Linked DNA regions of Notamacropus eugenii. The protein of the gene in region 2 purifies or fractionates together with the protein of the main gene of each other region. This does not show direct contact. Links are inferred from orthologs where the notes say so. Each region holds a gene or a part of one and is shown on either strand. Other genes may lie near its edges.

What was found.
Region 1: the proteins of NPM1 (region 2) and SMARCA5 purify together in Homo sapiens (co-immunoprecipitation; 3 studies listed by BioGRID and IntAct, with this or other methods). This does not show direct contact. The link is inferred for Notamacropus eugenii from reciprocal best matches to the Homo sapiens genes NPM1 and SMARCA5.
Region 3: the proteins of NPM1 (region 2) and RPS9 purify together in Homo sapiens (affinity purification with mass spectrometry; 3 studies listed by BioGRID and IntAct, with this or other methods). This does not show direct contact. The link is inferred for Notamacropus eugenii from reciprocal best matches to the Homo sapiens genes NPM1 and RPS9.
Region 4: the proteins of NPM1 (region 2) and PARP1 purify together in Homo sapiens (affinity purification with western blotting; 3 studies listed by BioGRID, with this or other methods). This does not show direct contact. The link is inferred for Notamacropus eugenii from reciprocal best matches to the Homo sapiens genes NPM1 and PARP1.

What each region holds. Positions count from the first base shown.
Region 1 is NC_092877.1:140,691,873-140,699,691, forward strand, and holds the start of SMARCA5 (SWI/SNF-related matrix-associated actin-dependent regulator of chromatin subfamily A member 5), read left to right. Parts: upstream 1-4,537; 5' UTR 4,538-4,924; coding exon 4,925-5,089; intron 5,090-5,941; exon of another isoform or gene 5,942-5,957; coding exon of another isoform or gene 5,958-5,960; intron 5,961-7,819. UniProt on the Homo sapiens protein: ATPase that possesses intrinsic ATP-dependent nucleosome-remodeling activity.
Region 2 is NC_092872.1:403,041,407-403,049,598, forward strand, and holds the start of NPM1 (nucleophosmin), read left to right. Parts: upstream 1-4,963; 5' UTR 4,964-5,201; coding exon 5,202-5,259; intron 5,260-6,673; coding exon 6,674-6,753; intron 6,754-7,161; coding exon 7,162-7,281; intron 7,282-8,192. UniProt on the Homo sapiens protein: Involved in diverse cellular processes such as ribosome biogenesis, centrosome duplication, protein chaperoning, histone assembly, cell proliferation, and regulation of tumor suppressors p53/TP53 and ARF.
Region 3 is NC_092876.1:13,041,450-13,048,252, forward strand, and holds RPS9 (small ribosomal subunit protein uS4), read left to right. Parts: upstream 1-3,953; 5' UTR 3,954-4,174; intron 4,175-4,407; 5' UTR 4,408-4,437; coding exon 4,438-4,534; intron 4,535-4,633; coding exon 4,634-4,756; intron 4,757-5,437; coding exon 5,438-5,624; intron 5,625-5,904; coding exon 5,905-6,082; 3' UTR 6,083-6,137; downstream 6,138-6,803. UniProt on the Homo sapiens protein: Component of the small ribosomal subunit. The ribosome is a large ribonucleoprotein complex responsible for the synthesis of proteins in the cell. Part of the small subunit (SSU) processome, first precursor of the small eukaryotic ribosomal subunit.
Region 4 is NC_092873.1:409,803,246-409,810,762, forward strand, and holds the start of PARP1 (poly [ADP-ribose] polymerase 1), read left to right. Parts: upstream 1-4,328; 5' UTR 4,329-4,571; coding exon 4,572-4,691; intron 4,692-7,517. UniProt on the Homo sapiens protein: Poly-ADP-ribosyltransferase that mediates poly-ADP-ribosylation of proteins and plays a key role in DNA repair.

The DNA.
Region 1 (7,819 bases), on a different chromosome or scaffold from region 2:
TGTCTACTTTTGTGGGAACTGTATGTTGATCCCTATTGCTGCCACCTTTTGGGTTGGGAAAGCCTACTCTCAGGTCTTTGTCTTCTCACCTCTGCAGAGAAAGTTACAAACATATGTAACTCCCAAGCCAATTACCAAACACTCCTCCACGTAGCCATTCTGCTGGGCTTTCTTCTGTATTCTGAATAAAAAAAGAAAAAAAAAGGAAAAGGGTGGTTTGTCTTTACAGGCTTCATTTCTATGTGCATATCTTGAACAGTTTTCTAAGTCATTTTTAGGATGAATGCTTCATGTTCTGAATTTGTCAACTGAGCATTAGTGGTCTTGGTTAGGATATATGAATATAGATAAGTAACACTCCCTTATATGAATAGGAGCTGGCTTATCATGTCCTTGGCTCTAAAAACTACTCCCACCAAGAGTCAGTCTCTCTCTCTCTCTCTCTCCCTCCTTCTTGGATGTTCTCTAAGAGAACTTAAAGTAAGTGCTGAGTTGGGTGTGAACCAGATTAAAATATGATTGGAAAATATTTAACAAAATAAAAATACAATAGAATATAATGTTAATATGCATTTTTCTAAGTCAATATGCAGGCTGTAGGGATCCTTATGTATGGCTTAGTGGTCTTGTTTCTATTTGAGTTGTACACTTCTGGTTTAGATCTCTCTTAGTCACCCTTGGGAGTGACATCTCTTTCCTATGTAGCAAGAAGGAAGCAGCACAAAGCTGTCTTTAAGGGCGTTGTCCAAGAGGATGTTTGATTCTTTAAAATCTAGATCCTGGGACGGATCTATTTTTATTCATCCCAACCTGGGGGATAGACCTAGGTAAATTTCAAGGGAGAAAAAAGAAATGTAATGTGATGACAAATATTTTCTGTAACGGCAGATACAAATACTGACTTTAGTGATTATTCTTAAAAAACTCAAACCAAACCAAATCAAAAACCAGACACAGACAAGACAGTATTATGTAGTACATATATTACAGCATTTATTTAGTCTTAGTTTTTTCAGGGTAGGAGGAGTTATACAATGTTAGAAAAGCTTAAAGGCATATCTGATATAATATGGTTCAGTGGTATCAAACTCCAATAGAAATATTCCTGCTGGCTACATACTGAAAATCACACATTAACATTTTCTATATTCTATTTTTTACTTATTTTGTTAAATATTTCCCAATTACATTTTGATTCCTGTAGAACTTAGGTGTGTAGCAAGGGGTAGGGGCAAAGCCACTGATCTGACGATTCTGATCTAGCTCATTCACTTCATTTTATAGATGAGTCTCAAAGATTTGGTGGATGACTTGCTCAGGGTCATGTGGCTAATTATTGGTAGAGCTAAAGGCGTAGGGGTGAGGTCTGGAAGAAGAAAAGCCAGCAAACATTTATTAAGTGCCTACTATATGCTGGGTACTGTGCTAAGCACTTCACAAATATCTCATTTGATTCTCACAACCACCTACTATTATTATTATCCCCATTTTACAGTTGAAGAAACTGAGGCAGAAAGGGGCTAAGTGACTCCAAGGGGCCAAGGTCACACAGCTAGTGTTTGAGGTCAAATTGGAACTCAGCTCTTCCTGTACTGAGTCAGCACTCTAACCCCAGCTGCCTCAGCTGGGTAAAAATAGAACCTGGATATATTCCTTGTTCAATGCCCTTTCTCCTGCATGAGACCTTGGCCTAAAGGGCTGAAGGTCTCCCAGTGCATCCTGGGCCATCTCCAGTCATCCTGAGGAATATCAGGTCACTGGATTCAGATGGCTCTGGAGGAGAAGTGAGGCTGGTGACCTGCACACCCTTCCCTCACTCAAAACAAAGTCAAATACAAGTCATGTCATCTCTCTGATGGCATGGCCTTCTTTGGCAACGAAGGATGAACACAATTCTCCCACATCATATTTCTTCCCCTTGACTCCATGCCCTCACACACCCCCATATGGAAACAGTTATCAAGTTTTCTTGATTCTATCTCCATAACCTCTCTCTTATTTGTCTTTCTCCAACTTACCCAGTGACCACCTTAGTTCAGGCTCTCGAGTCCCACTGGTACCAAGACAATAGATTCCTACTTGTTCTCCCTGCCTCAAGGCTCTCACCTCTCTTATTCATGTATTCTACACAATTGCTAAGTGAAACATGTCACTGGTTCTCTATGACCTCTAGAATGAATAAAAAAATCCTTTGATCAGCTTTACTGTTCCTAGCCTATCTTCCCAAGTTTATTACATATTACTATTTCCATTTTTGTACTCCATAGTCTAATTAAAACAGATCTATTCACTGTCTCTCATACACAACATTTTATTTCCTGTCTCTGTCTTTGAACAGGTTTACCCTAAGCCTGGAATGAGTTTCTTCCTCAACTCCACCTTTCGAGTCCCTTGCTTTTTTTCCTTCATCGCTCAGCCTAAGTGCTGACTTGTGTCCTTTCCTGATCCTCAAAGCACTATTACCTCCTTCTCCCAAATTCTCTTGTTTACTTTGAATATATTGTTATCTACTTATGTGCATAGATTCGTTAGTTTTCCGAATTAGCTGAAGTGTGAAACAGTGGAAAGAACACAGAACTCAGATCCAGACACGAGCATGAATCGTCACTGTGCCCCTTACTGACCTTTGGCATAGAACCTCTTAGGTAGCAAAGAGGATAGAATGATGAGTTTTGAGTCTTGGAGACTTGGGTTCAAATAAGGCCTTGGACAAGTCTCAACCTTTTTGCCTGTTACTTCAACTGTAAAATGGAAATATCAAAAGTACCTACCTCTCAGGATTGTTATGCGGATCAAAGGAGACAATATCCATAAAGCACTTAGCACAGTGCCTCACGCTTGGTATGTGCTATATAAATGTTAGCTAAGATTATTTGGGGCTCTTTGGTGGTACAATGGATACAACGCCAGGCTTCAGGTTAGGAAGACCTGAGTCCAAATGTGGCCTCAGACACTTAGTAACTATGTGACCCTGGGCAAATCATTTAACCCTCTTTGACTCAGTTTCTCATTTGTAAAATAAGCTGGAGACAGAAAAGGCCAACCACTCCAGCATCTCTGCCAAGGAAATCCCCCTAACAGGGACATGAAGTCGGACATGACTGAAAAGACTCAACAACACCCAGCCCCTGGAGTTTGCCACATCTGTATTCTGGGGGGGCAGTGTGATGCAGTAAGGCCAGGGGCAGACCTGGGTTGGGATTCTGCCTCAGGTACTTCCTAGCTGTGTTACTGAAGGCCTACCCCCACCAACTCTGCCCCTCAGTGTCTCCACCTGTAAAATCGGATTAGACTTGACGGCATCCAAGGCCTTTCCAGCTCTACACTCATGATGCTTGAAGGGCGGTGTGCTTCTTTGGCTTTTCACATTATGTATGTGACAGCAGTATGACATTCAGGCCATCCCAGCCCAGCCCGCCCTCCCTCCCAACAGAGGCCAGCACAAGCCATGCCATCCTTCTCCGTGGCACGGCTTTCTTCGCGATGGAGGGGGGACCACGGGCGCTTTTGAGGGTCTTTGCCACCCAAAGAGGTGTTATGGATGCTTAGGAGGGCACACGGAAGGCTCCTTTCGGCCAGCAATGCCAGGCTGCTCACAGAAGCGCTGGACCCACGCACAATGCCAGTCTCTCCCGCCTCTCCAGGAGCTTCTGCCTGGAAGATGCCTCCTGCCCTCCCGGGCGCGGCTCCACCGCCCCACTCACGACGATGGCTGCGTTTTCTTCGTGGGTCTCCTCTGAGCTTACAGGGAGGAAAAAGGAAGGGGGAAAGAAGCACGCTGGGGGCGGCGAGGCCAAACAGGAGATGCCGGCCGGTGCATAGGAGGAGGACTGGGGCTCCCCAGGCCCCGGATTCAAATCCAAGTCCGCGATCCTGGGTATGGTCCCGGGAGCCGGGGCTCCGGACTCGGGGGACGTGGGTCCCTCCGGGCGCTCCCAACTGTGAGGAACAACTTTGTGGATCCTCGGAGGGGGCGTGGGATCTAGAATAATCCTAAAGTGGACCGGGAAAGGGCTGGGTTCAAACCCCACCCTCGGCCCACCGGGGCGCTGCTCGAGTCACGTATTGCCCCCGGGCTCCGGACTTCCGCGCCCACACCCACGCAGGTCCGCGTCGGGAGGAGGTCGCGGGAAGGCCGCACCGCACGGGCAGGGCCGGGTGGCGCGGCTTCGGACGACGTCTCAAGAGCACGACGGCAGGGGACTGACCGGAGGGCCGGGGCCTAACTCCTGCGGGGCCCGGCCGCGGGGATTCCGGGTCTGCGCCGTGGGCCGCCCGGGGACCCCGTCGGCCCCCTGGAAGCGAGCCAGCAAAGGAAAGGCCAGCGCCTGACCAGTAGGGGAAGGCCGTTGGAGGGGGGTCGTTGGGGGCCGTGCGAGTGCGCTCCTCGCGGCGACGGGCGGGCGCCCATTGGCTCGCCCAATCTCCACGCGCATCCCAGGACCCGCCCTCTTCGCCCCTCCAGCGCCCCGCGTGCGGCGGAGGGAGGGGGTGGGGAAAGGGCCATCGCGCGCGCGCTAGGGAGCGAGTGGGGCCGGCCAGCCAATCGGAGGGCCGGCCGGCGAGCCCGCATTCTCGCGAGAACTGGAAGCCGGCGGTGGCGGCGTCTGTGTTAAGGACGGCATTGGTTCCTGGTTGGTGGCGAGGAGGCTGAGAAGCGCCTGCAAGGAGAGAGGACGCAGAGGGAAAGCAGCCAGTTGCCCCTCGCGCGCGCTCTCCTTCTCCCTCCCCTCCTCCCAGGCTTCCTTCCCTTCCCTTCCCCCGACTCCGAGCCCAGCCGTCCGCTCCAGGCGACGGGCGTCCCGCTGAGAGGTGAGCGGCCGGCCCGGCGGGCCCCGCGAGGAGGAGAAGGAGGAGGAAGAGAGGGAGGAGAGCTCCGTCCCGGCGTCTCCTCGCCACCCGTGTGCCCGGCCGCGCCGCAGGCATGTCGTCCGCGGCCGAGCCGCCGCCACCCCCGCCGCCGACCGCGGAGACCGTGCCCCCCGCCCCGGCCGTGCCCGTCTCTGGCGGCGGCGGCAACCACAACAAAAGCGGCGTGGAGAGCGCCCCGGCCGCGGCCGCCCCCCCTGCGGGCGACGCGGAGATGGAGGTGAGCGGGGCAGCCCGGGGAGGGAGGGACGGAGCCCGGGCGCCCGCCGGGACGCCGGCTAACGCCCCCCGCAGGTCCCCACGCGCCGGCCGGAGCACGCGCGCCCCTCTCCCTAACTTTGGAGCCCGGGGACGCGCCTCGGCGCCCCCCGCTCGGAGGTCATCCGCACCCAAGTTGTGGCTCTTTCGAAAGCGGGGCGAGCGGCGGCCGCGCGGGGCCGGCACGGCCGAGACAATGGAGAACGAGCCGGCCAGGCCCCGGGGCCCCGCCGCGGGGAGCAGCTGCGCCCGCACCCCCCCTCCGCAGCCTCGGGGGCACGGACGCGCCGGGCCGGCCCCCGCCTCCTCCGCCTCCTCCGCCCTCCTTTTGTGCGCTGCGCCAGCGCCGGGCCGGCTGCCGAGCCCGCGGGCGGCTAGGCCCTGCCTGGAGCCCCGAGCCGCGGGGGCGGGGGAGGGAGAACAAAGTCAGCCGGGCGGGCCCTCCGGGGCCGGCTCCTCCGGGGCGGGGGTCGGCCCCCCCCACCCTCGGCTGTGAGAATCGGGGCGAGTTCCCCCCCGGGCGGCGGTGACAGCTGGGGAGCCCGGGACCCGGACTGACAGGGCGCCCCTCCTCTCCTCCTCCCCCAGCCGCGTCCCCACGGCCCCCTGGGGGCCGGGGCTCTGACCGTGCCGGTTCTCCAGGCGAGGAAACCGAGGCCGGCGGCCGGCCCAGCCTCCGTGCGACGTCGGGGCGCGCGGGTGACCCAGGGTGCGGGGCGGCCCGGGATGCCCCGGAGCCGTTCGTGTGTCACAATTACAGACACTGCCGGGGGTTGTTGGTCGTCGTCTCTTTTCGAGCAAACTTGGATGCCAACTTTGGAAAGTTTTAGATGGTATTTTATATCAGGAGTTTTTGATTTTTAAACACGTAATTGGTGCAGATTTCAGGCTGAAGCAGATCCCAGACCCTCTCCATGCGCTTCCCATTTTTTATGATTCTTGTTCGTAAATTCTTCTTCCTCTGGTTCGTGAACTAGCTGGGTAGCGGGGGTAGGAAAGTATCACTCCAGTTGTCCATTTGTTGTTTTTCTTGGAACACGGACAGCCTGCCCTCCTTTTCTGATTATGAAGTCCTTGATGTTTCCCTTTACGTCTTTTCTCACTCAGGTTTTTCTTCGTAGTTACCTTGAAGTTTGTGTTTGCCCTGCATTTGTCCTGTTACTTGGGTTGCTTAACATTTTATTCAAAAGTTTATTCTTTTGAGATTGTCGTTGGTATTTGATAATTAACTTCCGAGATGCCATCCTGTTCAATCTCCTACAGCTTGTTAGTAATAATAATAGCTCAGATTTATTGAGTGCTATTAAAAGTTGCAAAGTGCTTTTGCCTTATCTTAGACTTCTTCTGAATTTCACGTAATCTCGTCTTGCATCTTTTCCCTTATTTGAAAATATGAGAAGGGAAGAGGCATGCTACCACATTTTAGAGTCCTTAGTGATTGAGAGGTATAGAAGTATAAAAAGCCTTGTATTTTTCCTATTCAGTGATGCATTAAGTCACATTAAACCCAGAACTCACAAAAACCCTTTTACTGAAATCTATAGGATAGGAAAGAGATTGTATTAAACATTCATACTAGAAATCAAAGTGGGTGAAAAATGCCCTAGACCCACCCTGAGACTGAGCTAAGGTTTTGAGGTTGGGTAGTTGTAATGATTTTTAGGGCAGACTGGAAAGTTTATTGAAATCCCAACAAAGAAATGTAATGAACACTGCAAGTCAAAAGAATTAAGTTAAAATTGAGTTACAGTTTAAGTGTATGAATAAAAATTAAATAGCTTATGTTAATATAATAATTTTGTAAAAAGGTATGTTGTACGAGCTCAGGAATTTTTTTATTTTCTATCCATAGACCTTAGTAATTTTGACATTTCTTACAAGACTTCTGGTATACATTTTTCATTGAAAGTCATTGTATTTCTTACTTCCAGATTGTATTTTAAAGGTTCTTAGGGTAGTTGTCCCTTATTTAAACTGGTTCTCTTTATACAGCTTTATACTTGTGTGTTATTTTCTCCTTTAGATTGTAAAGTGTTGTGCTTGAGCAGCAGTACTGTCCTTTATTGAGGTACATGCTGTGTAATAACCTAAATCTTCCCTAAATCTGCAGAATTGAATCTTTTTCAGTCTGTTAAAAGAAAGAATGCTCTTATTCTTTTTGATGGGCTTAATGTGACTTTTTCTGAACTTTGGAATTTTCTGAAATAGCCTTAATAGATTTTTTTGGTGTGACTTTACTGTGACTCCTGCCATAGTTACTGTAATAGCACACCAACGTGCACTAGGATTTGTAGTCTAGTGGAGAAGTATTATTTCTGTTCATCCGTTGCTTTTTGCAGTGTGGAGAGTATAATATGTTTCCATTCTTTACAGAAACTATTGTTCTACCCTCATCTTTGCAGTATACCTCAGCGTCTTTTCTGTTGGCCTCTGTTGGCTAATACTTATTTGGCCAGAAAGGGTATGCAGACTTTAACCCAGTTTTACTTTAATTGTAATAATGATTATTATTGAAACAGTACATTTTATTTTCTTAGGACTTTCCATTTTAATTTTGTTCGTACTATACTCAAAAAGGTAGGACAGATGCTATCACCATTCTCTCCTGTGGTAAAAGCTGAAGCACAGATGTTAATGACGTGTGTAGGATCATACAGGTAGTTAAATTGAAACTGGGACCTGGTTTCTTTGA
Region 2 (8,192 bases):
TTATAGCATCTGTTCTTTAAGAGACAAGATTGCCATCTATCTGACATTCTACCCCTCTTTAACTGAATTATATCAAACTTTTTAAAAAAAGTAGACAATAAGGATTTGGGTTGTTTTCATTAACTTCTTTTGATACCTTATCTTTTCTGCTTCTGTAACTATGTTTTTGCTACTACGATAATGTTAAACTTGGGAAAGCCCAGTGGGGAAAATAATTTATTATACAACATAGTGGGACTTCTCCCTTCCTAGTTTTCTTGGTTATTTTCCTGGTTCTTAGGATGGGGCATATTAACTACCATAATCATGTCTTCTTATCTTAATCCCCCTAACTGTTTTTCTGCCTTACTGTATTCAATGTTGTATTATCTCTTCTATAAAGCTTGCTCAAATTTAACTTCTAAGAATTTTATGTTAGCTCAAGATCTCAGTCCTGAACATGACTATATAGAATTGACTTTTAGACGATTCGCTTTATTTTAACTTTGCTATTCTGTTTTTATAACCAAGGCTTTAGCCATACAATGAAGCGATCTAGTAAAGACAAGTCTTTTAAGGAATAAAAGGGGGAAATTATGAAGTTGTAATTATAATTGGACTCCATCTTGTGAACCAAATCAATTATTGTCCTCCATTTTGTGCTGTTTCTTGTAAATCATATTTATCCTGTCTTGTTCAAGGAAAAGCAAGGTCAGTGTTGCTGGATCTTACAAGCAGAGGGGAGTAAAGTATAAGACTAGAAATGTATGAAGGGGCCAGGTCTGTAAAGGGTTTTAAAAGCCAGAGGATGATCCTGTAGGTAAGAGTGCCACTGAAGTTTATTGAATGGGAGTGGGGGGGTGGGGGAAGGGGGAGTGGACAGTTTACAGTCTGGGAAGTTCTCTTTAGCAGCTGAGTGGAGGATGGCCTAGAGTGGGAAGAGACTTGAGGTGGAGGACCACCAGGTAGGCTACTGCAGCGAACAGTCATGCTGTCTTAGAGACAAAAAGGAGACACAAGTTGCTTCTTTTTTTGAAAATAGGACCTGTGTCTTTGTTGGCGTAGGAAATGTTCCAAAAGGAAGCATTCCTCTACCAACATACATCAACACCTGCCTAAGCAACCTACAGCAGGGATTTGTCCAGCATCACACAGCCAGCATGCTTCAGAGATGAACGTGAACCCAAGTATTCTTGACTCAGAAACAGATATATCTCTATCCAATATACTATGCTGCCTCTCACTATTTTACTTATGTTGCCTAAAAGACAAAGTCCTTCCCCTGGGTTCCTATTGACATGGTTTAGGGATGCTGAGACCCCCAAAATGTCAGGGTACAGGGCAGTGTCACTTGGAATGAATTCACCCACTCTGTCTTCCAGTCAAGTGACAAAGTTTATTGTAATGCTGATAAAGCAGGAGAAGTTCCTTAGGGGACTTCCAACTTAATGGGGGTGATGCTAAAGCTTATATAGAATAGTTCAGTGAATGGTGTACCAAGTATGCTAATTAGGTGGTGCAGGGTGGAATTAAGGAGTGGTCAGCTCTTACAGGAACATAGTTCCTGTACCTTGGCCACAGGTGTCATTCACTACTGGAAAAGGGGAGGGGGAAGGAGAGAAGGCTTCTAAGTGGTGTTTTGGGGTGGAGAGGAAGGGTTTCTAAGCTGTGTGTTTTTCGTCTACTTCTTCTGTAACAAGATAGCCTGGGGAGTTGATGTGTATAGCTTTACCTCTGGATTGTATACAGTAAATGTGGAAATCAGTACATGATGCATCTTCTGGTACAAGACCATCCTGTTCATACAAGGGAAATTCTACAGAGGTCAGCTTGTTCTTATAACAGGGAGAGATGGCCTCACTGTGGGGGGCCCAGAAGTTACTGCCAGAGAAAGGGTCTTTGGACTGGGGAGAGAGAGATATGATCCTGGGGCTGGGGTTCAAGCACCTCACCACTACCACAAAGGCCAAAGAAACCTTAAGGAAACTTTGGTTTGGAAACAGAAAGGAAATAAGAAGGGCAGGTTTGGGCTGGTTAACCCATCTCCACATTCATAGACAAAAGACCTCCTGAAGATAATGTTTCTCTTTCCTCATCCCTGAGAGAGTAAGCAATCAGATATAGGTTATAATGTACAATTATGCAAACCATTTCCATATTAGTCATTTTATACAAGACGAATAAAAAAAAAGTGGAAAAAATAGCGTGCTAGGTCACCTAGTGTGTAGATGGTAGAGGCAGAATTCATACTCAAAAATTGGGCCACATGTATGACCTTAAGGTTTGAAATTCACCACTCTCATCATCCCTTCCTCCCTCCCTCCCTCCCTCCTTCTTCATTCTCCTGAACCTATCTGTGGCCTCACTATTACCTTCAGCTCTTCTATCCTTCCCTGCTCTCCCAACCTGAGGATTCTGGCTTCGTTCTTTTCAGCCTTGGCCCTATATAGTAAGCACTTCACCTATGCACTGTCCTATACCCTTGAATCCCTTTCTTCTTTGTCCTTCTATAGCTACAACCAGCCATTTATCAGTCCTGGGTTAGCAAGGCCATGTGGTTTCTCTACTCTTATTTCTGAGGTGCTAGATGGCACTGAAGAAAGTCATGCTATTGTGCTGAGACCACTACATATTCCCATTATCTAATCTCAAGTAGGCCTTTACCACTGCACAAGAATCCTTTTATTCTTCCCTATTTGACTATCATGTATTCTGCAAAGGCTGTTCTAAACCTCCTCTCATCAAACCCCCAAAGCTATTTTCACTCCCTTCCTCTTAACAGATGACCTTGCCTCCTACGTTATTGAGTAAACCAAGGCTGTTACTAGTTCCCATATCTCCTCTAACTCCACATTTCAAAGCTTCTGTACAAAACAAAACAAAAAACAACTTGTGTATATCTTTACTTCTCTCTTCCCGTGCATCACTCTTAGCAGATGAGGGAATCCTTTTTAGAGAGGTTAAGGCCTCTTGGCTTGAGCCTACATCACATATATAAAATATAAGTTCCTTGAGGGCCGAGGCTATTTTGTTTTAGTATCCCCAGCACTTAGCACAGTTCCAGGTGAATAGTAGGGATTCTCGGTTGATCACTTGGGCACTTATCTCGTGTCACCTTCCTTGTCCTCCAGATTGCTGGTTTATTGCTCAATGTTTACAAACATGTCAGAGTCTTTGTTATTGTTCAGTCCCATACTTTGCTACCTGTGGACCATTCTGTGTCTTTACTTGACCCCATCATTTCCTCAAGCTTTCATCCTGAGACATTTAGAAGGTTGGTCCTAAACACTATAGACCTTCATAAAAAAAAAAAAAAAACAAACCCTCAAAGGAAGCAGTTTGTCAGACTGCCAATCTGTTGTCTCTCATTCTTGCTACAAGACCAGTCCCATAACTTATTTCATTCATATATGGCTTTAATTTCCCTCATTAATGTCATTTCTGGAGTACATTATTGTTGCCAACACCATGCAACTTGGCTTTACCCACCATTTGCAATTTTGATTCTTCCATAATAATGGAGCCTCATAGCATCACCAGAATATTGTTACTAAAGCAACAATGTGCTTTTGATGTACTTTCCCAGGTATGATCCTGTCCATTTTTCTAATCTTTATTTCTTGGCTTTGTTCATGTGTCTATCAGTCATACACGTTTATGTTGACTCATCCAACATAAGCAACACCTTGCCTTAGAGGCATAGAGTTCTTCACATGATATTACAATTCAATGCAACGAATCCTCCTTCTCTACTAAGTCAGAGCCTGCTGCGGCAGTAGGAGGGGGAGTAGGCTAGTGCAAGGAAAAGTATGGTGGTTCTGGTATCAAAAGACAAGGGTTCACATTCTATGTAATGGAATCACAGAATGTGAATTAAAATTCTGGGTCTGCCACCCATGTGACCGTGCCCTCCTTTGGACACTTAGAAATGAGGAGCTTGGACTAAATGGTCCCTAAGATGCCTTCAGGGCAGCTCAGTGGCACCCAGGAGACAGCCTGGAGTCGGAAGACTTCCTGCCTTCCATTTTGGCCTCAGACACTCATGAGCTGGGTGACCCTGGGCAAGTCACTTCACCCTGTTGGCCTCAGTTTCCTCATCTGTAAAATGAGTGGCAGAAGGAAATGGCAAACCCAAGAAAGTCCCAGATGGGGAGGCGAGGAGCTGGGACCGACCCAACAACCAGTCCCTTCGGACTCTGAACCCATCTTAGGAGGTCAGTGGCCCGGATGGCCGGCTTTCAGTGACTAGTACGATGTAGCCCGGGGCAATGATCGCTGCCCTTCGTGGGGCTGTCACCCCAGCACGGTGCCTGACTGCGGACCAGCCCTCGGTTTGCCTGAGTGCACCGGAGTAGGGACTGGCGAAGCAGGCCGGCATCCGTGCCGAGGAGAGGCCGCGGCGGCGCAGGGGCGCTCTGGGCCGCGGGCCACAGAGCCCGGCATCGCTCAGCAACCACACTGGGCCCTTTCGGCTGCTCGTGGCAGCCGTGGAATCGCAACGGGGCCAGGCCGTCGGGGCCAACGCTCCCCTTTCGTAGGCGGGGAATCCTGGGCCCAGACAGGGCGCACGGGTGGGGTCGGCCCCGGCAGTCTGTAAAGATCGTGGTCCTGATTCTTCCCCGAGGCCTCTGGGGCTGGAGGAAGAAGGCCGTGAATGGCTAACGCTGAAAGCCTTTCTCAAACAGACTCAGGTCAGTAGGATGAAAACACTAGGATTCTCCAACATCGGGCTGATTTCTTCGAGAAGAGTACTAAAATGGGGGGTAAGGGGTGGGGGGTGGGGGCGTCGCCGCCATTTTGCGCAGGGTCAGCAGCGCGGGTTTCCCCACGCCGGGGGCGCGCCAGGGTCTAGAGAGCCCGCCAGCCGCGTGCCCGTGTGTGCTAGAGTGTGGTCGGGGCGAAGACATGGCGGCGCAGAGCTCGTTCCTGCTGACGTCGGGAGCGCGCGGGCGGAGGAGGCAGGCGGCGTCGCGCGCACCAAACCCTTTCTGTGGTTGGCAGACGAGGGCGCGCGGAGAGCGAGACCGGCCGGACGTGCACGTGCTCACGGTGGCAGATCTCGCGAGATCTGTGAGGGACTATATGTGTGCGCAGGGAGCCCGCGTCCTTTCCTCGGTGTGATTCCGTCCTGATCGGAGCCCCTCGGGAGCCAGAGCCACTCTCCGTCCGCCTCGTCGCTCTCCTTTGAACACTGCCCTTCTCTCCTCAGTATCGCCGCACCAATGGAGGACTCCATGGAAATGGACATGAGCCCCCTCCGGCCCCAGAATTTCCTCTTCGGTAACGGCTGTGTATTTAGAGGCGGCTGCAGGGTTGGGGGCGGGGCGGCCAGTCGCGAGCCTGGGCCTATGTGTGTGTTGGGGGGGGCTTGTTGGGGACCGAGGCTGGGGCCTAGATGGGCCGTGAGGACTGGAAAGCCTCCTCAAATGTGGCCCGTGGGCGCAGCTCCGGGGAGCAGCTTGTTTGTAGCGGGCTGCTGTCGGGGAGGGGGTTTTAGGCCGGGCGTGGGGTGGCTGCTGATGGATGCGGAGGGGGCCTTGGAGGCGAAGGCTGCGGGCCTGGCGACGGTGGGGGAGGGGATGACGGCCCAGAGGCCCGGATTTGGTTTTCTGTGGAGCAGGGGAGGGTGAGGAGGGGCTTAGGGAGGGGTCGGCGACAGGCTTGCGTCTAGGCTAGTGGAGCTCGGCCTCCTCCCGTCTCTAAGAAGGCCACCGGCAGAACCGCGCAGCCGCGTCTCAGCAGGGACCCGCTTGGTTGCCACCGTTGCTGGGCCCGTTACCGGGGGTGGAGGGTGGGGGGTGGGGCACGTGGGCAGAAAACCTGGGTGCTACAGGGCCTCCTGCAGGAAGCACGTGGCGCCCTCGAGGCCTTCGGCTGAGGGCGGAAGGCATCTCTGGAGCATCCAGGCTCCGCGGTCCTGTACGTGGGTGTGCTGCAGTGTGTGGGGAAATGTAGGATCGCCACAAGGCCTAAGGTGGGGGGGACTGGAAACACAGAGATGGCTGCTTATGAGTCTTTAATAGAAATGGCACCAACCGGAGTTTGGCTTGGATGCTTTATACTTCAGGACGCAGCAGACATTAGTAGTTTGATGTATGTACTCTGGTTTTTTCCATGTGGTTTGCTAAACCCGTCCTGGCTTGTATTGCAGAACTTAGGCCATTTGCGTACCCAACTATTTCCATTGTGGGCACATTTTGTCTCTGTCTCACTCGATAAGATAGCCTTTTGGGGGGAGGGGTCTTTGAGGCATCCCTTCGTAAATTAAAAATGCTTCTTGGTTGCATGAAACCAGTTGAGTAAATTTTTAACGTTGATAGAGTGGAAAAAATACTCAATCTCTAGGGATAAGTAGGATTCAGGTCCCCTCCCACCCGCCCAACTTGTTTGTGTATCAGAATGGATCTCTCTCCCTCTGAAAAAAATACAAAATTCCACTTTGGAAAAATTACAAGTACAAATTTGTTCCAGTCCATCTGTTTGAATTTATGATTCGATTTTAATTTTTTTATGGATTTAAAAACATGACGTATTCACTGAGCTTTTTTTTTTTTTTTAAACCTATATACCTCGATGCACTCTTAAGGTGAAGGTAGAGCAAGTATTAGCTCTCTTAATATTCAGTTTTTAAGGGATGAGTCGTTTGCTATTTATGAGGTATCTGGTTAAAACTATGGCTCCTGCTCCTTTTCAGGTTGTGAACTAAAGGCTGACAAAGATTATCATTTTAAGGTAGATAATGATGAAAATGAGCACCAGTTGTCCTTGAGGACTGTAAGTAAATTTTCATTATTTAAATTTACCTTTTTCTTTCTTTTGTTCATTTAACAGGATAAAATCTAAGTCCACATTTTAGATATGGCCTTTAAAGGCCATACTTTTAATTAAGGCATAGCTCATTGGGTCATAGTAGGTCAAGAATAATCTTACTTAAGTACTCATGGCCGTACATCTAGTACGTGGGTATTCAAAAGGAAAGTAATGGATACAGATAGATTTGTGCTGTGTACATAGCTTTTTTTCTCAAGTGCTTATAAGTTAAGAAAGTTGACAAACTTTTACGATGATGCGCAGGTAGCAATTTTTTTGGTTGGTCAGTGTTCCTTTAGCACGTAACTAGTTGATTTAGGAGCTTTTAAAACTGAATTACTAAAAGATTGTTTTCCTTCTCTCCTTTTACAGGTGAGTTTAGGGGCTGGTGCAAAAGATGAATTGCATATTGTTGAAGCAGAGGCACTGAACTATGAAGGCAATCCAATTAAAGTAACACTGGCATCTTTGAAAATGTCTGTGCAGCCTACAGTAAGACCTTAAATTTTTTTCTGTGATTATTTATTTTGAGCTCAATGTTTAAGTGGTAAATCCATTGATTCTAATCTTATATAATTCACACTTTTTCTTGCCACATATCCCCACTAGGGGTTTATAACAATATTTTGTGATTTCTGCTTTAATGCATTTTTTTCAGAGCCAAAATTGGGATAACTGGCATTTATATAATGTTTTAAAGTTTAAGAATTTTTTTTGCATCCTGTGAGATAGTTAAGTATGCACTAAGTATAATTATAAATTTACTAATGCAGGTCCTCACTTTCTCTTGCAACTTAGTCTGACCAGTTTCCTAGAGCACTTGAGAAGGTAGGTTACTTGCCCAGAGTTAACACAACCAGTATGTGTCAGAGATAGAACTTCATACTAAGTCTTCTGACTGAGACACTACTCTTCTTACGTAGGTACTGCAAGTACTACTTCCAAGTCTGAATATTGACTACATATTATCCCCAATTGCTATGCTATGTAATAAAGACAATAAATTTTAATTACATTGCATCTCAAGGTTATATTTGTATTACTCAAGTTTCAAATCCATTACTAGTTTGGGAAGTAGTGTATTCTGGTTTTGCTCACTTAGGCTAAATTAATAGTTTTAGTGAATAAGCAGTAGAGCCAAGTAAGGAATTATACTTGCTCATAATTCAGTATTTCAGAGATACAGGATTTCATTGTTCTGTGGTAGTTTTTCCTCAGACCTTTGGTGTATTTCCTCCCTTTGCCTTTATAGCATTCTGAGTTTCCTTCAAAACTCAGGTCAAATGCCCTCTCTTCTATGAAGACTTTTTTCATTGCTAACTGCTTTTACCCCATCTCAAATTAAATTTCATTTTGTATAGTCAGATGCAATTAGTCTCATTGGTGAAATATAGGTTTCCTAG
Region 3 (6,803 bases), on a different chromosome or scaffold from region 2:
GTGGTCTTTCTAATGCTTGGGCCTGACGATGTCACACCTATGTCCAGACCCCCCCTCTTTTTGTTTCTAGGGACCTCCAGGGGCCAGACTTATTGCACATTACCGCCTTTCACCCATTTCCTATGGCGCTACCCTAAAACCTCCTAGCAATGGCCCCCTCTTCACGCTTGCCTTTTGGAATCCATTTTTCTTCCACACTCAGGTTGGGGGCTTTTCTCTATGGGAGTCCCTTCTTGGTGCTCTCAGTGCTAGAGCCCTCTCTCCCAAATCACCTTATATTCATCTTTTGTATAGACTATGTGTGTATGTTTATATACAGCTATATGATGCAGGCATACATATATATTACATATATACATATATATGCATACATATGCCTGGCCTAATTGCCATGGGCTGCCCAGGTTCTCTTACCTAACTCAGGTCTTCCATGGCCAGCCGGATAAACGAATGAGAGAAGAGACCTCCAGAGTCAAACAGAGGTGTAGGCTTTATTCCAGATACAAGCTACATGTCAGTATGCAGGGCTAGTGCTCCCTGTGGGAGCCCCCTTCTCCCTCCTGAGGAGCAAGGAAGAACGACAACCCCTCAGGCTTTCCTGTCCCCATTTAAGCTCTCCCCCTGGTAGTTCGCTCATGGACTGCATGCTCTCAGCCCCTTAGCCAATTAACAAAAGGTGTGCTCAGACCACGAACCAATCTCAAGGGTGGGATGCTCTCCTCAAGCAAGTTTCCACTGAGAAGAGGTGGAAAACGAGATAACTCGTGTCTCACTCCTCAATTCCCAGCTGTTCTCTGGGGGGGCCTCATGAGAGCTCAAGAAGTCCTCACCTGTACCTGACCCAAGACCGTTCACGTGAGAATTGAGCCTACCTTAACATACATATATAGATAAATAGATGTTTATGTGTGTATCTCCAGGAGAATGGATGTAGGTATGATATATATACACATATACACATGTGTGTGTGGTGTGTGTATACATGTGGATATGAATATGCACATACACATGCACACATATACATGTATATTAGTACATGCATTTCTCCAGTAGAATGGATGCAGGTATATGTGTGTGTATGTATAAATATGTATGCATATATACACACATGTAGATACATGTTCATATGTGCATCTCCAGTAGGATGGATGCAGGTATGGCATATATACATATATATGTGTGTGGTGTGTATATATAGGTACATGTGTGTATACACATACACATATACATGTATGTTCACATGTGCATCTCCAGTAGAATGGATGCAGGTATATGTGTGCGTACATATTTATATGTACGCACACATCATACATACATACATACATAGATACATGTTCATATGTACATCTGCAATAGAATGGATGCAGGTATGGTGTGTATATGTATGTATACGTGTACACACTCAAACATGTCCATGTGGATATATGTTCATATGTGCATCTCTCCAGTAGAACGGAGGCTTCTTGAGAGCAGGGACTGTTTGGCTTTTATAGTTACATCCTTGGTGCCTAGTCCAGGGCCAGGTACCCAGCAGGAGCTCAATCACTGTTTGTTGACTGATTGCTGTGGGAGTCATGAGTTCATGGAGGGGAGGAAGTAGACCTGCTGGATTTGGAGAGAACTTGAATTCACATCCTGTCTCTTGTGACCCTGGGCAAGTCCTTTTCCTTCTCTGGGCTTGTTTCCCTATCTGTAAGGGGCTTGGATTCCATGACCTCCAAGGTTCCTTCCAGTGCTAGTCCTAAATAAAGCACAATGTGAATATTTGCTATTAGGTATTTATATCTTGGCAGGGTTTTAAAAAATCTCCTTCCTAAGTTATAAACAAAACAAAACAAGTCCCTTTGCCCAGAGAGTGATCATTTTTTTAATCTTCCCTTCATGATGGCTGGGCAGGTAGGTAGAGCAGTGGATAGAGCATTGGGCTTGGGATCAGGAAGACTAGTCTTCCGGAGTTCAAATTTGGACTCAGAATAGCTGTGTGACCCTGGGCCAGTCACTTGACCCAGTTTGCCTCAGTTTCCTTATCCATAAAATAAGCTGGAGAAGGAAATGGCCAGCCACTCCATTATTCTTGCCAGGAATACCCCAAATGGGATCAAGGAGAGTCGGACATGACCAAACAATCTGCTAATAACATATGAAAATGGGCAGCTGGGTGGTGCAGTGGATAGAGCACCAGTGCAGGAGTCAGGAGGACCTGACTTCAAATCTCACCTCAGACACTTGACACTCACTAGCTGTGTGACCTTGGGCAAGTCACTTAACCCCAACTGCCTCATCCTGGGTCATCTCTGGTCATTGTGATGACTACCTGGTCACTGGATTCAGATAGCTCTGGAGAAGTGAGGCTGATGACCTGCACAGCCCTCCCTGACTCCAAACAAAGTCAAGTGCAAGTGGCATGGCCTTTGGCGACGAAGGATGGACACACACACCACATATGAAAAGACTCCTTATCACTGAAGGTGATTGTAAATAGCTGAAGAAAGCATCCCCTTTATTTTAAAGAAAATTATTTAGCAGATAAATTTGTTCATTTATTAGTGTGTGTGTGTCTCCCACGCTCTCCAGCCAGGTTTTGTCCACACGTTACTGAGAAGTCCAGAGAAGCATGATGTGATCTTTCCCAAACCTAAATCAGCCCAAGTGCAAGGTCAGATGTTTGCGGTTTTATTGTCCCAGCATCAGTGTGTGCTCTGCTTGGAGGATCCCTCCCACTAGCGCATCCCTCGGTGCGTACTGAGAACAGCCCAATGAAGCCACAGCCACGTGGTCTGCAATCCCACGGGCAGCCTGCTGTCCGTACCCACAACAGTCTGCGTTTCTGAGGAGTTGGGAAGATGTGACCAACTCTAGGGAGATTTCGCCTGGGCGGTGGGATCCCACGGCCGGTTCAGCGGAACGTCTGGGCCCGGTGGGCAGGTGTAGATCTGGACGACCGGAGATGGCCCAGGACGTGGTGGGGCACCTTGAAGCTAAGGTCTTTTACCCATCCCAGTTTGACTGAGGCGGTGCCAACCAGGGCCCAAGCACACACTAAGTGGGGCGACCTAGGGGCACTCTGCCCAAAGGGGATGTAAATTTTAATCTCTGAAACCTTTTCTTTTCTTTCTTGAGGACCAGCCTTAACCCTAAAGCATTCAGGTTCCTGTGGATAGGTCAATAGGTCCCGCGGGAAGTTTGGGGGCACGGACAAAAACGCAGCGGCCCCGCCCTGGGGGAGCTCAGCTTTGGGGCGGGTGGATGGTTTCCGCCCTGGGGGGGGGGGGGGTCGGTGGCCGGCCTGCCGGGTCCTTGCGGCAGGGCCTGGTGGGATCCCCAGAAGGGGCATGGAGACACGGGCTTGGCCTGGGATCACCGGGGCCGGGGGGCGGGGCTCCAGGCTGCGGGCCGGCCATCAAGGTCCTCCCTAGATTCGCATCCCCGGAGCCCCAGGCTGCCCGGCCCCGTCTGGATTCTTCCCTCAGCCTTTCTCTCGTCTCCATCGGGGTGCTCACCCTCTGGCCGGCCCGTGGCACGTGGGAGGCCCCTCAAGAGCCAGCCCAACATGGAGGACGACCAATAAAAGTTTCACTCGGGCTGAAGGAAGGCTTGGGTCGACCCGGCCTGTCGGTATTTTGGGGTCCCGAGCACCCCAAACCTCAACAGGGGCACCACTGCTCGGCCGACCCCCCCAAAGCTGGAGCAGCGCTCCGGGGGTTGCGCGCCTCCGGGAGCTTGACCCCAGGATAGGGTCATTCAGAAGGCTCGCGGTTTCGGGGTCCAGGTCTGTGTCCTTTGGGGGGGGGGCGGACGACCTGCATGGGGGCTGGGGGAGGGGCAGCCCCAGGGGTAGGGCCGTGAAGGTGCCCAGAGGCCGATGGCGGCTGCACGTGCCTAAGACCTTCCGGTCCGAGGGACAGGCAGTGAGCTCCCCACGCCCGGCGGCCTTCCGGTCCAGACCACGCCCATGTTCCAATCGGGGTTTCGGACCAGACCTGGGCTGGAGCCCGCGGCTTGGCCAGGACCAGGGCCGGGCAGGCCCCGAGCCCGGCCCCGCCAGTCCGGGCCGCTCGCCTCCGATTGGCCGGCTCCGCGCTCGCGCACCGACGTCACCGGCCCCGCCCCGGCGATATAAAAGCCGCACGCCGGCACGCCTGGCCCTTTCCCGGTAGTTGTGAAACTGCAGCAGGTGAGTGGCGGCTGCCTGCGCTGGGGAGGGCGGGAGGGAAGGAGGGACGGGGCTCGGAGCTCTCGCGGCGGCCCCCGAGGCCCCGCTCTGCGCGCGGCCGCCGGAGCGCCCCTTCGGCCCCTTGTTCGCCCGTGCTCGGCCTGGTCCCCGGGCCGCTCCCCTCCCCCGCCCCCGGGCCGCGCGCAGGCGCCGGAGCGCCCTTCCGAGCCCGCGTGTCTCGCCCCCACGCGCAGGCGCGGCCGTGCCGTACCCGCTAGGCCAAGATGCCGGTCGCCAGGAGCTGGGTGTGTCGGAAGACGTACGTGACGCCGCGGCGGCCCTTTGAGAAGTCGCGGCTGGACCAGGAGCTGAAGTTGATCGGTGAGCGGCGGGCGGGCGGCCGAGGGGGCTGGGGGGGTCTGGGGGGAGGCGGGGGGGGGGGGGCGCGTCCACCCACGTGCTCCCCTCCCCTCCCCCCAGGCGAGTACGGGCTCCGCAACAAGCGCGAGGTGTGGAGGGTCAAGTTCACGCTGGCCAAGATCCGCAAGGCGGCGCGGGAGCTGCTCACGCTGGACGAGAAGGACCCGCGGCGGCTGTTCGAAGGTGGTGGGGGCGGGGAGCCGGGAGGTGGGGGCGGGGCGGCCCCGCGGTGTGGCCCTAGCACCCCGCTCCGGGCTGGGGGAGGGGAGGGGCGGCCCCCCGCGGCGTGTCCCCAGCACCCCGCTCCGGGCTGGGGGTGGAGGGGCGGCCCCCCGCGGCGTGTCCCCAGCACCCCGCTCCGGGCTGGGGGAGGGGCGGCACCCCCGCGGCGTGCCCCTAGCACCCCGCTCCGGGCTGGGGGAGGGGAGGGGCGGCCCCCCAGCGGCGTGCCCCTAGCTCCCGGCTCCGGGCTGGGGGAGGGGCGGCCCCCCTGCGGCGTGTCCCTAGCTCCCGGCTCCGGGCTGGGGGAGGGGAGGGGCGGGCCCCCCCCCCCCCCCCCCCCGGCGGCGTGTCCCTAGCTCCCGGCTCCGGGCTGGGGGAGGGGCGGCACCCCCGCGGCGTGTCCCCAGCACCCCGCTCCAGGCTGGGGGAGGGGAGGGGCGCCCCCCCCCCCCGCGGCGTGCCCCTAGCACCCCGCTCCGGGCTGGGGGAGGGGCGGCACCCCCGCGGCGTGTCCCCAGCACCCCGCTCCGGGCTGGGGGAGGGGCGGCACCCCCGCGGCGTGTCCCCAGCGCCCCGCTCCGGGCTGGGGGAGGGGCGCCCCCCCTCCCCCGCGGCGTGCCCCCTAACCCCGCCCGCCCGCAGGGAACGCGCTGCTGCGGCGCCTGGTGCGCATCGGCGTCCTGGACGAAGGTAAGATGAAGCTGGACTACATCCTGGGCCTGAAGATCGAGGACTTCCTGGAGCGGCGCCTGCAGACGCAGGTCTTCAAGCTGGGCCTGGCCAAGTCCATCCACCACGCGCGCGTGCTCATCCGCCAGAGGCACATCAGGTGGGCTTCGTGTGCCCCCGCAGGTGACACCCCGGGCTGAGCCCCCAGGGCCGCCCCAGCCGCTGCCACAGTTAGCTGGGGCGGGGCCGGCGCCCCTCCCCAGCCCTGCGCAAGGCTCACTGCGGCCCAGCCGTACACCTTGTGAAGGCCGCGCTCAGGTGCGGGGCAGCCCAGGTGAGGGGGCAGGGCCTGCGGGGAGGGGGAGGGGCTGCCGACTCCACCCAGGGATCGAGCAGGAGCCGCGGCGTCCTGAGCGCTGACCTCCCAGCCTTCCTCGCAGGGTCCGGAAGCAGGTGGTGAACATCCCCTCCTTCATCGTGCGCCTCGACTCGCAGAAGCACATCGACTTCTCCCTGCGCTCGCCCTACGGGGGCGGCCGGGCTGGCAGAGTCAAGAGGAAGAATGCCAAGAAGGGCCAGGGAGGGGCGGGCACCGGCGACGACGAGGAGGAGGATTAAATGCACAGCCCCCCCAAAGTTTATCGCATTGGAATAAAGCTCTTTAACTTGTGAAGTGGCCGTTGTCTTCTGTGGCCCCGAGGGAGGTAGGGAGAGGGGGGAGGAGGGGTGCCAGCTCAGCCCTTGAGTCCCTCAGGATAGTCAAAGCACTGCCCCAGGGACCATCTCCTCTGAGAGCCTTGGATGTGTCCCCCAAGCTGCCGAGCCCAGCCTCTGCAGCCGGCACTGGGGGAGGAATCTGGAGAAAGGGACCCGGTGGGCCCCTGCAGGTGACTCCTGCCGCCCCAGATGGCATCCTGGGACAGGTTGGCAAGCTACCTCTGCCCCCCTGCAACCCCATGACCCCATGGCTGTGCTAAGGGTACAAAAAGGGCAAAAGCTACTAAGGCGTCAGTTGTACTGGGGGTGACAACGATGCGAACAAGAAACAGAAGACTCCTGAATGAAAAGGGGGGGGGGGCTAGGGAAGGCTTCCTGGAGAAGGGGAGGGGGTAGCAGGGCCTAGGGGCTGGAGACACCCAGAGCCTGAGCGTCTTCCTGTGCTAATAGCGGGCTCCTAGGATTGATCGCAGAGTAATACCCGAGAGGTAGGAGGGGCCTGGGACCGGGTAGGAGCAGGACACGAACCGATCTGCTTTAGGAAAGTTAACGGTGGCTGAACAGTCCGGAGCGAGACTGAAGCGGGAGAGCCACCCAATGCCCGGAGCCAGCATTCTTGCAA
Region 4 (7,517 bases), on a different chromosome or scaffold from region 2:
TATTATGTTTCTTCCCTTCCACTCCTTTTTCCATTTAAAGCCCTTTACATATGTTGATATTGAGGGAATTAAGGGGATTGTAACAGCAAGTGGAGGTAGGGATTGAGTGAACCCCACCGATTCCACCTACTCTGTTCAGGAGCTAGCTCAGTCCCTTTTCTATTCAATTATTAGACTGAGGGTGAGTAGTTCCTCAGGGGTGAGGAATCTCCCCGAATGAAAGGATTTGTTCTGGGAAATTTGGATTCAGTCAAAGGGCCAAACTTGAGGACCTAGAGGGTCAAATGTGGACTTGAGTCTAGAGGTTCCCCACCCCTGGTCTAGTCTATTTTCTATCTTCTGAAAAAACATTTATTCAATTGTGGGAATTGTAGGAAAACTTCATTGCATTGTTTGAATCTAGCCCTGCCTGACGGAAAATTGGATCACCCAAAGGACCTAGGTTATCCCGACCAGAACTCGGTCAGATCTAAAGCCTAGTGGATGCAAGGAATCTTCTCACAATTATACATCTCAATGTAACCCATGTGTCTTATCTGAAAACTAGCCCCGTACCAATTAGTCAGTTATTGTTCCCATGTTACTTGGGTTGAATGCAAGCACTTGGGGGGAATAAGACATCTCTTTTTCTAATTTCAGGGAATTTCACTTGCTTTCTCTCCCCCTCCCAATTTAGAAAGTCCTTAATCTTTCATCCAATTAGAAATCAGATTACCTAATGTATCCTGGTTGTTTCCTTTTAATTAATTGGTCTTACTTGATTGTTTTTAGTGTATAAAAATCTATTTCCTCTAGTATTCAGGGTCCAGCCCTGAGCTGAAGAAGAGGCCTGGTCCTGATTTGTTAGGCAATTGGCACATATTGCTTAATAAATCAATATGCTTGGAAGCTCAAACCTTTATTTTCCCAGTCATTTCATCTTTCACCTATCACAATATACATTAAGATGTAACACGTGGCTAACTGTCTATAGCATAGCTTCACCTGGATATATCATAAACTGAGCATGTTCATCAATTTTCTCCCCTTGGATCCACTCACAGAGACTAACAATCTGCCATTTTTGTTTTGTCTCCCCTTTATCCTTCATTTTGAATTAATTGTGTTTGACCTGGGCAGGTCTCCAGTTTCCTTACCTATAAAATGGTATGGTTTGATCCCAGAATTAGAGTTACAAGAGACTTCAATCCAATTCTCCCATTTTACAGATGAGGAAACAGCATCCAGAAGAATTAAATCACTTGCCTAAGGACACACAGATAATAAGCATCCGAGGTGGAAGGTGAACCCCTACCCTCTGACTCAGTCAGGGCTCTTTCCCCTTGTGACAAGTTGTTGATTCACAACAGATTTCCACACCATCCAACTTTTCCTTATTTAGGTCCTTACCATCCCTTAACTTGAAGATGATAATAGTTCAGTGGCTCCCCATTGCCTTCAAATAAAGTCAAAACGTCTTAGCTTGTTAAGCCTCCCCTACCTCCCCTTACAGAGCAGCTATAACCTGTATTTGAAAGATTATCTCACTCTACTGTCTTTGCATATTCTACAGGCTAGACCAGGGGTGGGGAACCTGTGGCCTTGAGGCCACATGTGGCCCTCTAAGTATTTATTATTTACTAATCCTTAATAAAAGGATTTGTTCTGTGATGTTTGGATTCAGTCAAAAGGCTGCACTTGAGAACCTAGAGGGACACGTGTAGCCTCCCCATTCCTGGTCTAGTTATATGGTACTATTCACTGTTTCCTGACCTCTTGCTTCTCTATATATTTGTTCACGCTGCCAAGAATAGATCGCCTCCCCCCCATTCCCATTCTCTTTCTTTTTTTCTTTTTGGAGGCAATCAGGGTGAAGTGACTTGTCCAGGATCACAGAACTAGTAAGTGTCTGAAGCCCAGTTTGAACTCAGGTCCTCCTGATTCCAGGGCTACTCCCCGCAAGTGCTGATTCCCTCATCCTACTTGAGGGAATCTTCTTCCTTCGAGGTTCATCTCCCGGGCCTGAAACTTCCCTGACTCTTCCCAACTAGACAGAATCTCTCTCACTTTAAATTTCTCAAAGCAGTTTTGATCTCCCTTTTGCACTTTTCACATTCTCCCTGGCAGTGCACTTATGAACTACCTTCCCAAACAGATGGTAAATTTCTTGATAATAAGATGTTCCCACTTCATCTTTGATCTCAGAGACAAAGAATTATCAAAATAAACTTAAAATGTGTACAATTTTTCTATTTTTTCGACATTCAATATTCTTGCATCATACACAAAAGGAGGGTAGAAAAGCTAACAAAGGAATAATGCATTTTTATTCTAGGAAAATCAATCAAGGTTTTAACAGCCTGGTGTAGGGAATCAAACAATAGATTTGGGATCAATAAAACCTGTATTCAGATCTCATTTCTGTCGAGACATATGCGATTGTGGGTGCGCAAGTCACAACTTCAGATAATCTTACTATTAATCAAACAGCATTAATTTTTAAAATTTTATTTATTTTTAATTTATGAAATGAAACAAGTATTTCCATAACATAGAAGAAAAAAGATGATGGCACATGAAACTGAAATCTATTAAGTACGACTTCCTATTCCTTTTAAATATATAATAAAGTTATCGTTTAAACTTTTTTCCCCTTTTTTCCTTCCTCCTCTCCTCCCCCATTGACGGGGGTCGGTCCTAGGCGCCTGGGCGGATAGGGGCCTCCCCGGGAGTGGCAGCCCACCAATCCGAGGGAGACACGGCTCCCATAGAGGAGTTGTGAGCCCACGGGATTGGTCGGGTGGGCTGGATCCAATCGGGTGGTAGGCCTCGCCCTCGGGGCGGGTTAGGATGGCAGCCCGGAAGAACCTCCCTATATAAGACAACGCCCTGAACTGCTCGTGGGACTCCTCCATGCAATAAAGCTATGAACCTCCTGCGCATTGCCTGATTATTGCCTGCCGCCGTGTCCCCCGGGGTAGGTCCGGAGACGTCCGAAGCGGTGCCCACCGAAGGGAGATTCTCACTCGAAGGTCCCGGGGACAGACCCGGGACACCCCATAGCTAAATGTATCCCAGTGTTGGGATACAAATTAAAGACAAAAGACGGTCCCTGCCCTCTAGGAGCTCACTGTCTAATGGGGGAGACAATATACAAGCTATATACAAACAAGATACATATAGGATAAATTGGAGATAATCAACAGAGCAACAGTAGCAATAAAGGGCATCTGGTTGCTATGAAACTCAAGTGAGGCATCTACGTAGCCAACCCCCACTTTCACCCAGATAAAGTGCAGGTAGGATCTTATGTAAACTTTGTATATCCTCCTCACCCTCCCTTCTCCCTTTCCGGCTCCCACCCAGAGAAGGACTGAAGTCCTAAATGAAGTCCAGGGTGAGGAAATCACCTCTATCAATATCGGGAACACCACACACACACACACACACACACACACACACACGTCTTCTTAAGGAAGAAAGAGTAAGGCTGAGTTGGTAGCTCACTTAAATCCAGTTCATCAAAGAGGCAAGACGTCACCCGGTGATGTCACTGATCCTTTTTAAGAACCAACACCACATTACATCATGCAGATCCATCAGCGAGGTCTTCTCCTTTCTGGGCTGAGCTGGGAGGGGGCCAGGTCCAAGTATTTACGTAAGCCTTTGTCTGTTTCCTCCCTAGTCCGGGGGGACTGGTCTGAACCTGCGGAGAAGTCCAGGAGCATGTATTTACTTGCAAGGACAGCTAGGTGGGCTAATGAATAGAGCGGGGCCCTGGAGTCCAGAGGAGATGAGTTCACGTCCAGCCCCAGACACTTGCCAGCTGTATAGCCCTGGGGAAGTCACTTAACCCTGTTTGCCTCAGTTTCCTCTTTCCTAAGAAAACCCCAAATGAAGTTATGAAGAGTCGGACGCGACTGAAAACCACCAGACCCTGCAAAGCAGCGGGGATACGAAGAAAGGCAAAAAAAAAATAACCCAAGCGAACAAAACCCTTATATCTGCTCTCAAAAAGATGCAAACAGCTGTGCCCAAACAAGAGAAAAAAATACATCGGCGGGAGGGGGATGGTAGCCCCAGTTTCCTAGAGCTCTGAAAAAGCAAGGGACTCGCCCAGGGTCCCGCAGCCTCCGGTCTCGGTAAACTAGCTGTAGTCGGTACTTGACAAAGGTTAACGGAGTTGAATCGCTCGGCAGACTGGCGATGCCGGGTCTCCCCGCCAGGAGGCGCCTTACGCTCTCGGGCCAGCTCGCGCCACACCCACCCGAAAGGCGCCTACCTCCCAGGGAGGGGTTTTCCCCTTCGCGCCTCCTCCCCACCACCCCTCTCCAAGCGCAGGCATTAGTAATCTATCTCGGGAGAGCGGCGCGGCGCGCGCAGGGCTCTCGGCGCTCACTCCAAAGCCCACTTCCCTGGGCCGCCCGCGGTGGGCGGGAGAGAAAGCTAGGCGCGCGAGAGGCGGAGGCGAGGCGGCACGCGGCGTAAGTGGGGACCAGGGGCTCCCCCTCCCGACGCTCACGGCCAGTCTCGGTGGTGCGCCGCCGTTCCACGCGTTCCGAGGACAGAAGGAAGGAGAAGGCGGTGGGAGGATGGCGGAGCCGGCGGACAAGCCCTACCGGGCCGAGTACGCAAAGAGCGGGCGCGCCTCCTGCAAGAAATGCGGCGAGAGCATCGCCAAGGACTCGCTCCGTCTGGCCATCATGGTGCAGGTAGGAGGACCGACCCGGGAAGCCCCTTGGGTGGCCTCTCCGGCGGGGCCTGGGGAAAGTGAGCCGGAGCTCTCCGGGCCCTCCCCCCGCTCCCCTCCCTCCCCTCCCCCCGCCTTCATTCCCAGGAGGCTTCGATCCTGCAGCCGGGGTGGGGGCGGGGCGCCCTTGGCCTTGCGCTCTACCCCCTGCCGGGTTTTCGCGACCCCCCCCACCCCTCCCCCTCCGGCTGGGCCGGGCCGCTTTGTGTACACTTGCCTAGCTCCGGGTCGGGGCTGCTCCTCCCCCACCTAGGGAGGTCCCTAAACTTTTCTTTTGGCCTTTTTAAAAACGATAACCATCTTCTCGGAGAAGATCCTGTTAGGCCCCGGGAATGGGGTAGGCGCCGGCGCGTCTCCGGGCCTGCCGAGGAGGTTTTGCGGACCCCGGCAGCAAAGGCTGGGCCTCGGGAAGAAGCCAGCTGGGGTCCGTTAGGAGCCCTTTCTGCGGGCTCGGCAGGCCGCGTGGACGGCGGGCTCCGCAGCTGCTCGGGGCGGGGGGCTTGGGTACCGAGACCGGCTGGGGGCCCACCTCCCCGATGTTATCTCGTCCCCACGCGGTGGAGGAATGGTCCAAAAGTGAGCATCACCCGTGGGATCCTCAGATAGGAAGGACGGGAAAAAGAAAAAATAAAGGCCGAGTGGCCTCATTTTCCGTCCTTTAAAATTGTCCCCTGGAGGGCTCTGATTTTCCCGCTGCCATATTCCTTGGGCTTTGGCTGAGGTCGGGCAAGCAGATGAGCAGCTGTCCGCAAGAGATGTTTTTTTAAAAAATTCGCTTAATGGAAGTCACTCACATAATGTAGCAGATCATGTTTGTGTATGTGTATCTGTTTGTGTATCATGTTCTGATTTGTTATATGGATTCTTTCATTTATCTTAGTCTGACTACATAGCATGACTATAGTGAAAATATACTCAATAGGAAAGTATATGTAGAATCTATACAGAATTGTATGCAGTCGTGGGGAGGGAGGGAGGTAGTGGGGGGTGGGTGGGGAGGGATAAAATCGCAATTGTATGGCAGTGATTGTTAAACATTAAAAAAATAAAAAAATTAATAAAAAAAAAATTCGCTTAATGGACGTGCACGTTTTAATGCTGGGAAATGGCAGCTCTCGGCACGTAGATATTTCGTGGTAAACGACACAGCCCCGGACTTCGGAAATGCACCTTAGGGATAGAATTTTCAGACTTTTTTTAGGACACACAGAGATGCCTGCCCCCAGCTCTGCGCTGGAACTCGTTGGTGAAGGGGTTAAAATTCCCACCACAGAGCCCCGTTGGGCCATCGTTGTTCCAAAACGGGCTTCTGGGACCGCAAGGTGTTGATATTTGAGACTGGAAACATGACTTGCAGGAGTTTTTCTAATAGAAGATGGAACTGAGGGGAAGGCCTTGAGTGCACACCCAGTTATGTCTGATTCTTCTGGGAGGGTGAAGGACGTTTAACTCATTAAATTTCACTTGTAAGTTACTCTTTTTCCAAGTCTTCCCCAGGCTGCCACTGCCATTCTCCCATCTCCTCATCTTTCTTAGTTTGGATCAGGTCCCTTGAACATTTAGTTCAAAACAAGGAGCTCACCATCCTCATCCTCATCACAGAGTGCTCAGCTGGGTGTGGAAGTGGGAGTACCATGTCTGGAGTCAGGAAGACTCGTCTTACTGAGTTCAAATTTGGCCTCAAGACACCCTGGGCAAGTCATTTCACCCTGTTTGCCTCAGTTTCCACATCTGTAAAATGAGCTAGAGAAGGAAATGGCAAACCGCTCCAGTGTCTGCCAAGAAAACCCCAAAATGGGGTCGTGAAGAGAACCCACCGAACAACAACATAAGTGGGCGAGATCCGGATCTCCTACAACTAGCCCTCTCCCTTTCATTCTTGTGCCCCGATCTCTTCCCCTCTCTAAATCCTACCCATCTGTTTCCTTGGAGCCATCCTCTAACACCAACCCTTATTCATTTACCCTAGAAGTAGCACATCATCACCTGTGACCTAAAAATACACAATCCTGTGTGCTGATTGGTTCATGGGTCTTAGCTTTGTCTTTTAATTAGGCAGCAGTACTGTGGGGAAAGTTCTGACTACAGAGTCAGGAAACTAGGGTTCAAACCCACTTCTGTTTGTGTGGCCCAAGGCAAGCCACTTGAGCTGTAAAAAAGAAAGGGTTGGACTGCTTGGTCTCTTAGGTCTCTTCATATTCTACTTATAGAATCCTTAAAATCATCAAAACCTGGAGGAGACCTCTTAAGAAATAATAGTGCGTGAGCACTAGGTTTGGAGTAAAGAGATCCAAGTTCCAGACTGTATTCTGCCTGTCACTATCTTTGTAGCCTTAGCCAATTTTAGGTCTGTCTCAGTTTCGTTCTGTGGAAAAGAAAGGCATTGAACTTCATAGATGATTTCTGGGGACCTTTCTAGAGCTAAGGTTCAATAATTCTAAGTAATCCCAGCACTACCAATCTTAAAAAGGAAATATGTCCAAATGGAAAAACTTTATGAAGAATATTGGACCAAAAAAAATCTTCAGAATAATTAGGAAACTCAGACAGGGCCAGTAAATAAGAGAAAGCAATCATTCCTCTGACCCTAGATCTGATGATGGTTTCCTACTTCCCAGGGAAAGGAGCCAGGATTTATTTTTTATCTGTCCTTAGAATTCAACCTGACGATTTATCTAATATTTTTTTCTTTTTTATTATAGACTTAACAAACGTTGACATTTTCATATGCAAAGAATAGAAAAAGAGGATTATTGCAGGGTGTCTCAAAAGTCTTGAATTCAGTTTT